Saccharomyces cerevisiae S288C: one gene and its partner. Each later gene encodes a partner of the first gene's protein in a complex. Each region holds a gene or a part of one and is shown in the gene's direction. Other genes may lie near its edges.

Region 1 (5,764 bases):
CTCTGTCATCGCCTCTTCAGCTACTCTATTCGGTTATTTGTTCGCTAAGAACCTCTATTCTAGGGAGACTAAGGAAGATTTGATAGAGAAGCTGGAAATGGTCAAAAAGATCGACCCAGTAAATTCTACGTTAAAGCTGTCCTCATTGGACTCACCAGACTATTTGCACGACCCGGTTAAGATCGATAAGGTTGTTGAGGACCTGAAGCAGGTGCTGGGAAACAAGCCTGAAAACTACTCTGATGCGAAATCCGATTTGGACGCCCATTCAGATACCTACTTCAACACGCATCACCCCTCTCCCGAGCAAAGACCTAGGATTATATTATTCCCTCATACTACCGAAGAAGTTTCCAAAATTTTGAAAATATGTCACGATAACAACATGCCAGTTGTACCCTTCTCGGGCGGAACGTCCTTGGAGGGGCACTTCCTGCCTACAAGAATTGGAGATACCATAACCGTAGACCTGTCCAAGTTTATGAATAACGTCGTAAAATTTGACAAGCTGGACCTGGACATCACCGTGCAGGCCGGTCTACCCTGGGAGGATTTGAATGACTATTTGAGCGACCACGGTTTGATGTTTGGCTGTGACCCTGGTCCAGGTGCACAGATTGGTGGTTGCATTGCTAATTCTTGTTCAGGAACCAACGCCTACCGTTACGGTACCATGAAGGAGAATATTATAAACATGACTATAGTGTTGCCGGACGGGACCATTGTCAAGACGAAGAAAAGACCCAGAAAGTCGAGCGCTGGCTATAACTTAAATGGTTTATTTGTGGGAAGTGAAGGTACCTTAGGTATTGTTACTGAAGCTACTGTCAAGTGTCATGTCAAGCCCAAAGCTGAAACTGTTGCGGTGGTATCCTTTGATACTATCAAGGATGCGGCCGCATGTGCTTCTAATCTGACTCAGAGTGGTATTCATTTGAACGCCATGGAGTTACTGGATGAAAATATGATGAAGTTGATCAACGCATCTGAATCCACGGACAGATGTGATTGGGTAGAGAAACCAACTATGTTTTTCAAGATTGGTGGGAGATCTCCCAACATTGTCAATGCTCTTGTGGATGAAGTTAAGGCTGTCGCCCAGTTAAATCACTGCAACAGTTTTCAGTTTGCTAAAGATGATGACGAAAAATTGGAATTATGGGAAGCTAGAAAGGTCGCGCTATGGTCTGTGCTAGACGCTGATAAGAGCAAAGACAAATCAGCTAAAATTTGGACAACTGATGTAGCTGTTCCTGTGTCGCAGTTCGACAAGGTTATTCACGAAACTAAAAAGGACATGCAAGCTAGTAAGCTGATCAACGCCATTGTTGGTCATGCAGGTGATGGTAACTTCCATGCATTCATCGTCTACAGAACCCCTGAAGAACACGAAACCTGTAGCCAACTTGTTGACAGAATGGTCAAGAGAGCACTGAACGCAGAAGGCACTTGCACGGGTGAACACGGTGTTGGTATTGGTAAAAGAGAGTACTTGCTCGAAGAATTAGGTGAAGCACCCGTCGATTTGATGAGAAAGATTAAGCTAGCTATTGACCCAAAGAGAATCATGAACCCGGACAAAATCTTTAAAACTGATCCAAACGAGCCCGCTAATGATTACAGGTGAGTATCTGATTTTCCTTTTTCACCCTTCACGTAAACCTGAAATATATTTCATGTAATATATATAGTTCATCCTTAAAGAAAACATACCATTTCAAAATGCCCTTTCCCAGTAGCTAATACATGCTTAAAAATGTGATATATATTATTACCATCAAATGTATTCATGATCCGGGTAGTGCCTTTTTTTCCTTCAAACACTAATGGGATGGGAAGAAACATTTCGAAAAAAGTTATGACTATTGGCAGCATCAGAGAGAATTAAACCTTACCTGTACAACGATAGCAGCTTACATCACTTCCTCGCAGTCATGGAAAAAAATACGGCACCATTTGTCGTCGATACGGCACCCACAACTCCTCCAGATAAACTTGTAGCACCTTCTATAGAGGAAGTAAATAGTAATCCCAACGAATTAAGAGCTCTTAGAGGGCAGGGTAGATATTTTGGCGTAAGCGATGATGACAAGGATGCCATTAAAGAGGCAGCACCTAAATGTAATAATTGCTCTCAAAGAGGTCATTTGAAGAAGGATTGTCCCCATATAATATGTTCGTACTGTGGGGCGACGGATGATCATTATTCTCGACATTGTCCGAAGGCTATCCAGTGTTCAAAGTGTGATGAGGTGGGTCATTACAGGTCACAATGTCCACATAAATGGAAAAAAGTTCAGTGCACTCTTTGTAAGAGTAAGAAACACTCAAAAGAAAGATGTCCTAGTATATGGAGAGCATATATTTTAGTAGATGATAATGAAAAGGCTAAGCCCAAGGTCCTTCCCTTTCATACTATATACTGTTATAACTGCGGTGGAAAGGGGCACTTTGGTGATGATTGCAAGGAAAAACGATCATCTAGAGTACCTAACGAGGATGGAAGTGCGTTCACTGGTTCTAATTTGTCAGTTGAGCTAAAACAGGAATATTACCGTCACATGAACAGAAATTCGGACGAAAATGAAGACTATCAATTTAGTGAGTCCATATACGATGAGGATCCACTACCGAGACCTTCCCATAAAAGACATTCCCAAAACGATCACTCTCATAGTGGCAGAAATAAACGTAGAGCATCGAACTTCCATCCTCCTCCTTATCAAAAGTCTAATGTCATTCAACCAACTATAAGGGGCGAGACGCTGTCACTCAATAATAATATTAGTAAAAATTCACGGTATCAAAATACAAAAGTAAACGTCTCGTCGATATCGGAGAATATGTATGGCTCCAGATATAACCCTTCTACTTATGTTGATAATAACAGCATTTCCAACTCTTCCAATTACAGAAACTACAATTCTTATCAACCATATAGGAGTGGTACCTTGGGGAAAAGAAGATAACTTTAAATAGGAAGCCCTTTAACAAGCTGTTCTTGGTTACATTATATTTTCTTAATGAAAGATTAAAGACAATACCTAATTCGACCATTAATCAAAATAGCATGTAAATTTCTTACATCTTCTTGTTGTGAAAAAAAAAGGCCTTCGTGCAATCACAGGTAATAATAATAACATATACATACATATACGTAAATACGTCTTATAACTCCTGCTACCTCATACGCTATTTTCTATTATGGCTAACATCTATGCAACTCAATTTAGTCTCTTTTTACCTTTTTCACAATGAATGTATAAAGGTCCTTTTCATCGTAATCTAACCTTCTTTTTTGTGCATTTAAACCGTCATAATCGATTAGAGCAAGTTTGTCGACAAACCGATCTTTTCTATTTAGCTTTAGTGAATCGCACAGTTTTATTCTTCCTAACCTGCAGTTTTTGAAAAATTCGCCTTTAAGAACAGTTATCTCTCCTGCCATTGATGTTACCACCAAGTGAAACGTAAGGGCGCAAACATTGTCTGTGCCTACGTCTATATCATTAATTATAACAATTGTATCATTAATCAATCCGAAATCATGGGGTATTATCCGAATAGTATCCTTGGAATTCCTTAACAAATTTTTGGTATTTTTTATTTCAAATCTATTTATCAACAAAACTCCATGTGTGTCCAATATAAAGCATAAAGAATCATCCAGCATAAATAATTTCTTGAATGAACATAAATTTCCCAATGCCTGCTTGAATTGAGCTGTCTCATCATCTATCACTTGGCCATCCACCTTCATTTGACTTTCTGCCCACTCTTCTTCATTAGTTCCATTTTCAGAGCCATTTTTGTTCGATAATGAATCGATTTTAATTATTGGTTCATCATAGTACCGAGGTCGGAATGCACTCAACGTGACGAAATGATCGATGCACACAATGTCCATCTTTTTGTAATTATCTGTTAGAAAAGAAGTCATTGTTTCATCACTTTCATCTGTAGTGTTATCATCTTCATTCACCCCATCATTTCCATTTCTATGAGAAATCTTTTCAACAATTTCAAAATCTACCATAAATGTATTCCTTCTTAATCCTCGGATAAAAGAATCTAATTCCCACTTCGTTGAACAGGGTACATCCATTCTTTCTCTAAAAGCGTCTCTAGTTAAGGCTTGAAAAGATTCTCTCCTTCTTCGACTCAGCGGTCTCGGTTCGCTGCTAGCAGTACTGAATGAAGAATTTCGGCGACTACTTCCCAGCATATCTTGAGTGTGGAATAACTCATATATGTCATCTTTAGCGTGACCTTGACGCTGTTTCCAGACGATTCCTGAATCCAGCATTCCTGTTCCAGAATATTTTACAATATCATCCCAAATGGTTGAATTTATAATATCCGTATCGAATGTAAACTTGTTACTAATCCAGCTGAACAAAGAACCAAATCCATTTTGTTGCGCTACGTTGTCCCACGAAAGTATCTCACCGCATGTATCTCCCTGTATACTGTTCTTTAGGCTGATAAAGGTGCTTAAAAATGTAACATAAGTCAATGGTAAAATTATTTTCCTTATAAATAGTGGTGATCGTGGCGATACTGTCATGAAACAAAACCGGTCTAATGGATTTATATGGAATGTGGAAATACCTCGTTCTATATGTAAATACATCGAAGGCCTATATATGGGCAGGCCTTGATACATATTGCAAAACGAAGATACCACGGGTGACGATCTTAAATGGGATGGTTCTATAGGCAAAAGGAAGTAGCAGATATGCTTAGAGCATGACCTTCCAGTGTACCGCGTACTACCTTCAAATAATTTTTCTTCTTCTGAAGAATGTGTTGTATTATTATCGTGATGTACTTTGAAAAAGCAATCTGGAAACATGGGGTTGTACATGTTCTTATACTGAATGTAATCAGTGGGAAGGTTCATTACAAAGACATATATTCGACCGGAGCACATACAACAATATAATAAACCTTGACTATATTCAAGACCAGCGATCATATAGTCACTAAAAAAATTGGATTCGAAATCTTCCGGAGTACATCTAAGGATATAAGAGGGCGCTAATCGCAGGCCATTTTTTATCTTGTATTGATAGTTGCTTATGATTTCAATGAATCCGTTGGATTTAGCCAGCACCATGTAATCACATGAGTCCAAAATATGCGTTGCGTCTGGAGATATTGACGTGTCTCTACCATTAGGCCTTAAATAACAAAACGCTTGTATATTTGCATTCACATCTACTTTTGTACAACCTCTTTCTGATGGGACCAGTGCTAATCGATCGTTTTTAAATTCAAATAACCTATAACCAGACGGTTTACCCTTAGTATTGCAGGGAGTAGAAACAGCAAATTGAATCCTGCCAGTAGCCATCGATAACAAAATGTTCAGATTATGTGGAAAGACGCTTTCTGCGTGTATTTAACAACTCAAAGTAAAACCTATCTTAACCTGGTTTTGTTCTATTAGATGCCATTCAACTATGGGGAAGGTATATTTGGATGTTTGTTAGCAATTTTCAGGAAGGCAAGTACTTAATACCGATCAGCTTACTATTGTTTTTGACCTTAGAGCTCTTTTCAACAAAGCTTCGCATTGTGAAAAGCAGACCCAAAACGGCAACTGAGAAAATACGGCACTGTGGAAATAAGTCATGCATCAATCATCAGCTGTAAAAAACCTTTAGAAAAGACATTATACAGATTCTTAGATAGGTATTGATGTTTGGTATTACTATTTTTTGGAGAAATGAGTAAGAATGTTGGTAAGCTAGTGAAAATA
Region 2 (4,192 bases), on another chromosome or scaffold:
TTACATAAGATAGCTTCTTTGTAAAAGCCGTTCGAAGATTTCGTTTATAGTGATGCTTTTTCTGGAGAGATTTAAGATAATAAGGATATGTGGAAGGAAATGAAAATGTACACCTACAAAGCGTTGATGGTATGGAAACTATCGACCATAGTTTGTTAAACAGGAAATATTTGCTTGAGGGTAAAGTGTTCTGATTCATTATACAAAGCCCCTTGCTTATAAGAAAAGAAACCAAATCAGAAAAGGAGATTATTTCAAGGTAGGCATCGAAATGGCAAGTAACCAGCACATAGGAGCTTCAAACCTAAATGAGAATGAGGCTATATTAACCAACCGCGTTGCTGAGCTGGAAAGGCGTATGTCGATGTTTGAGGGTATATTTCACGCGTTAAGTAACCGTCTCGATCTTCACTTTAAAAAATATGATGTAGTGGTAAACTCCCAACAGCAACAAATCAACGAACTGACCGCGTTTTTATCAACATTGCTGAATGACCAACAACGCCACGCTGAAATTCTCAGTGAAAAATTAAGCGGAACGTTGCATGGGGTGTCAGCTACGTCAATATCCTTAAGCCAAACTCTTGACCCACAAGGCTTCACTGATGGAACTACGGCACCAGGAGCTCCTAGGAATTATACTTCAGTGCCTATGAATAATGATCAAACTGCTCATCCGCAAAATGAAGGAGCTGTTAGTAATGAAACACTTTTTGAGGACATTTTGAATGGAAATTCACAAGAAAATGATAAGAGTCAACAACAAACTAACAGCTCAAATTCTATAAGCCAAGAAAATAATAGCACCAACCCTTCAGTGGACACTCGGTTCAACAAGCCGCAAAATTATAATTCCAATTTAGTCCCATCCTTGGAAGAGTATTCAGCAAATCCACCTAACAATGATGGTGGCCAAAGTCAAGGACTGTACATAAGCAGCAACTCTTCTCAATCACGGCAGTCTCCTAATCTCCAGAAAGTTTCTCCTAACCATGAAAATGCGGTTGAATCAAATGCACAAGAGAGCGTGCCGACATTTGAGGAGGAACAGTATGAGACTAAAACAGGATTGAAACGGAAACGAATAGTCTGCACAAGACCCTTCGAATTTATCAAGTCACCACACTCTGTGATGGAGGTTTGGAAGGAGTATACAGAAGGTGTTAACGGGCAGCCTTCTATAAGGAAAATGGAAGCTCTTTATCAAACGGCATGGAGGCGAGATCCAGCAGTAAATAAAAGATATTCGAGAAGAAAGGTTCTTTGGAAAGCCATTCAAACTGGCCTTAATCGTGGGTATTCATTAAACTATGTTGTTGAAATATTAGAAAACTCAAGATATGTTAATGATAAACAGAAGGTTAAACAACCTATTGGTTGGTTATGCCACAGTTCTCATATTCCAGAGACTTTGAAGTGACATTTGCTTCTTGTGTATTCACCTTTATCCCAAATTAGCCCTTGTAACACTTATGCTTTTCTTAATAAATTAATAATTGGACTTTCCTTTAAAGTGGGTTGTATCTGTAACAATAATCTCTAATAATATCCTATAAAACTCAGAAGTCAGCCAACAACAATTGTATACGTATACATATCTATATAATATGCCTTGTACTTTACGCTCTTGAATTTAGAATAGCTGAACACCTAACTGAATTTAAGTAAAGGATCCCAAGCGTGAGATATTTAGGTTTACTCAGTTTTCTTATCTTGCCTTTTGATTATCACGTTGAGTGTCGAAGAAACCTGTATTCATCCTCGGCTTCTTGTATATGATTCTAAAATAATGTGTGAAAAAAAAAATAAAATAAAAAAAAGAGGAAAATAATATAGAATAACTATTAAGTTTCATTAAAAAAAAACCATTTGAATATACGACCAAAAACGTTACGCTTTCATAAAGTGTGAATAAGCAAGGGAACTATACTTGAAATATGGGGGCAAAGAGTGTAACAGCCTCTTCTTCAAAGAAGATTAAAAACCGGCATAATGGGAAAGTGAAAAAGAGCAAGAAAATCAAGAAAGTACGGAAACCACAGAAGTCTATATCCTTGAACGACGAAAACGAAGTAGAGATTTTACCTAGTCGTAATGAGCAAGAGACAAATAAATTACCTAAAGATCACGTCACGGCGGATGGAATTCTTGTATTAGAACATAAATCTGATGATGATGAAGGATTCGATGTCTACGATGGACATTTCGATAACCCTACTGATATTCCCTCGACTACTGAAGAAAGTAAAACGCCTTCATTAGCAGTGCACGGGGATGAGAAGGATCTTGCTAACAATGATGATTTTATCTCTCTTTCTGCTAGTTCTGAGGATGAGCAAGCCGAACAGGAAGAGGAGAGGGAGAAACAAGAATTAGAAATTAAAAAAGAAAAGCAAAAGGAAATCCTTAATACTGATTATCCATGGATTTTAAATCATGATCACTCCAAACAGAAAGAAATCTCGGACTGGCTAACCTTTGAAATCAAGGATTTTGTTGCCTATATCTCACCAAGTCGTGAAGAAATTGAAATTCGTAATCAAACCATAAGTACAATAAGAGAGGCTGTCAAACAGTTATGGCCAGATGCTGATTTGCACGTGTTTGGATCATATTCTACCGATTTGTATTTGCCTGGTTCCGATATTGATTGCGTGGTAACGAGCGAACTTGGTGGTAAGGAAAGTAGGAATAACTTGTATTCGTTAGCAAGCCATTTAAAAAAAAAAAATTTGGCAACAGAGGTTGAAGTTGTCGCCAAAGCTCGCGTTCCAATCATCAAGTTTGTTGAGCCACATTCAGGGATCCACATAGATGTTTCATTTGAGAGAACAAATGGTATTGAAGCAGCAAAGCTTATTAGAGAGTGGTTGGACGATACCCCCGGCCTGAGAGAATTAGTCCTTATCGTAAAACAATTCCTACACGCAAGAAGACTAAATAATGTGCATACCGGTGGTCTTGGTGGGTTTAGTATTATATGTCTTGTCTTTTCCTTTTTGCATATGCACCCACGTATAATAACTAACGAAATAGATCCAAAGGACAACTTGGGTGTGCTCCTGATAGAGTTTTTTGAACTTTATGGGAAAAATTTTGGTTATGATGATGTTGCACTGGGATCATCGGATGGATATCCAGTATACTTTCCAAAATCGACATGGAGTGCTATTCAGCCTATTAAAAATCCATTTTCATTGGCCATTCAAGATCCAGGTGATGAATCAAATAACATCAGTCGAGGGTCCTTTAACATTCGAGATATTAAAAAGGCATTTGCTGGTGCTTTTGATCTGTTGACGAATAGATGTTTTGAATTACATTCAGCAACTTTTAAGGATCGATTGGGGAAAAGTATATTGGGAAACGTGATCAAATATCGTGGAAAGGCAAGAGATTTCAAGGATGAAAGAGGTCTAGTACTGAATAAGGCTATTATTGAAAATGAAAACTATCACAAGAAACGTAGCAGAATAATTCATGATGAAGATTTTGCCGAAGATACAGTTACCTCCACAGCCACCGCTACCACAACAGATGATGATTATGAAATAACGAACCCACCTGCTAAGAAGGCTAAAATAGAAGAAAAACCTGAAAGTGAACCGGCCAAGAGAAATAGTGGAGAGACATATATCACTGTCTCTAGCGAAGATGATGATGAAGATGGATATAATCCTTATACCCTTTAATATGTGCCTTTTTGTTTAAATGATGCACTGAACTGTACATCACTGTGTACCTGGATAGAATGTGTGTTTAAATATGCGTATTATGTATTAATAATTGAATTTAATTTTACTTCTGTTTTTCTTTTTATCGCTGTGAACTTTTTTGTCAAGAAGTCGCTCTTTGTTGGCTTTCTCTTTTATTTTATTCCATTTCTTTGAGGTCTCAGCAGTGGTATCATTAGGAAATTGGCACGTTTGCCGAATTTCTTGAACCAACTTCTCGAAGCATTTTAATTTGTTGGTTTCCCTTGACCTAGTTTCATCAGATTGAATTACTATAGAATCGCTGCCCTTAGCGTAGTATCGAAACCTGCCGCTACTTAAGATGTTTCTCACTTCCTGAGGAATCCAAGCACAGTTTGATAAACCAGAAAGTGTCAAAGTACATTTACTATTTACCTTATTAACGTTTTGGCCTCCTGGCCCGCTGGCTCTATCGTAACGTAAAATAAATTGATTTA

The links.
Region 2: the proteins of AIR2 (region 1) and PAP2 are in contact, whole or in part, in a crystal structure (PDB 3NYB), measured with the Saccharomyces cerevisiae proteins. Residues at the interface, in NP_010106.1 of Saccharomyces cerevisiae: Glu134 (codon at 2,334), Arg135 (codon at 2,337), Cys136 (codon at 2,340), Ile139 (codon at 2,349), Trp140 (codon at 2,352), Arg141 (codon at 2,355), Ala142 (codon at 2,358), Tyr143 (codon at 2,361), Ile144 (codon at 2,364), Leu145 (codon at 2,367), Val146 (codon at 2,370), His160 (codon at 2,412), Tyr163 (codon at 2,421), Cys164 (codon at 2,424), Tyr165 (codon at 2,427), Asn166 (codon at 2,430), Cys167 (codon at 2,433), Gly168 (codon at 2,436), Gly169 (codon at 2,439), Phe173 (codon at 2,451), Arg181 (codon at 2,475), Ser182 (codon at 2,478), Ser183 (codon at 2,481), Arg184 (codon at 2,484), Val185 (codon at 2,487), Pro186 (codon at 2,490), Asn187 (codon at 2,493), Gly190 (codon at 2,502), Ser191 (codon at 2,505), Ala192 (codon at 2,508); in NP_014526.1 of Saccharomyces cerevisiae: Glu174 (codon at 2,457), Ile175 (codon at 2,460), Ser176 (codon at 2,463), Asp177 (codon at 2,466), Phe354 (codon at 2,997), Met357 (codon at 3,006), His358 (codon at 3,009), Pro359 (codon at 3,012), Arg360 (codon at 3,015), Ile362 (codon at 3,021), Thr363 (codon at 3,024), Asn364 (codon at 3,027), Glu365 (codon at 3,030), Ile366 (codon at 3,033), Asp367 (codon at 3,036), Asp370 (codon at 3,045), Asn371 (codon at 3,048), Val374 (codon at 3,057), Ile377 (codon at 3,066), Glu378 (codon at 3,069), Glu381 (codon at 3,078), Leu382 (codon at 3,081), Lys385 (codon at 3,090), Asn386 (codon at 3,093), Phe387 (codon at 3,096), Gly388 (codon at 3,099), Tyr389 (codon at 3,102), Asp390 (codon at 3,105), Asp391 (codon at 3,108), Val392 (codon at 3,111).

The regions. Positions count from the first base shown.
Region 1 is NC_001136.10:141,689-147,452, reverse strand, and holds AIR2 (TRAMP complex RNA-binding subunit), read left to right. Parts: upstream 1-1,934; coding exon 1,935-2,969; downstream 2,970-5,764. Other genes in the region: DLD1 (D-lactate dehydrogenase), read left to right, coding at 1-1,627; GID12 (Gid12p), read right to left, coding at 3,230-5,356; YDL177C (uncharacterized protein), read left to right, coding at 5,732-5,764. UniProt on the Saccharomyces cerevisiae protein: Component of the TRAMP (TRF4) complex which has a poly(A) RNA polymerase activity and is involved in a post-transcriptional quality control mechanism limiting inappropriate expression of genetic information.
Region 2 is NC_001147.6:99,538-103,729, forward strand, and holds PAP2 (non-canonical poly(A) polymerase PAP2), read left to right. Parts: upstream 1-1,937; coding exon 1,938-3,692; downstream 3,693-4,192. Other genes in the region: MSN1 (Msn1p), read left to right, coding at 272-1,420; PTH4 (Pth4p), read right to left, coding at 3,780-4,192. UniProt on the Saccharomyces cerevisiae protein: Catalytic subunit of the TRAMP complex which has a poly(A) RNA polymerase activity and is involved in a post-transcriptional quality control mechanism limiting inappropriate expression of genetic information.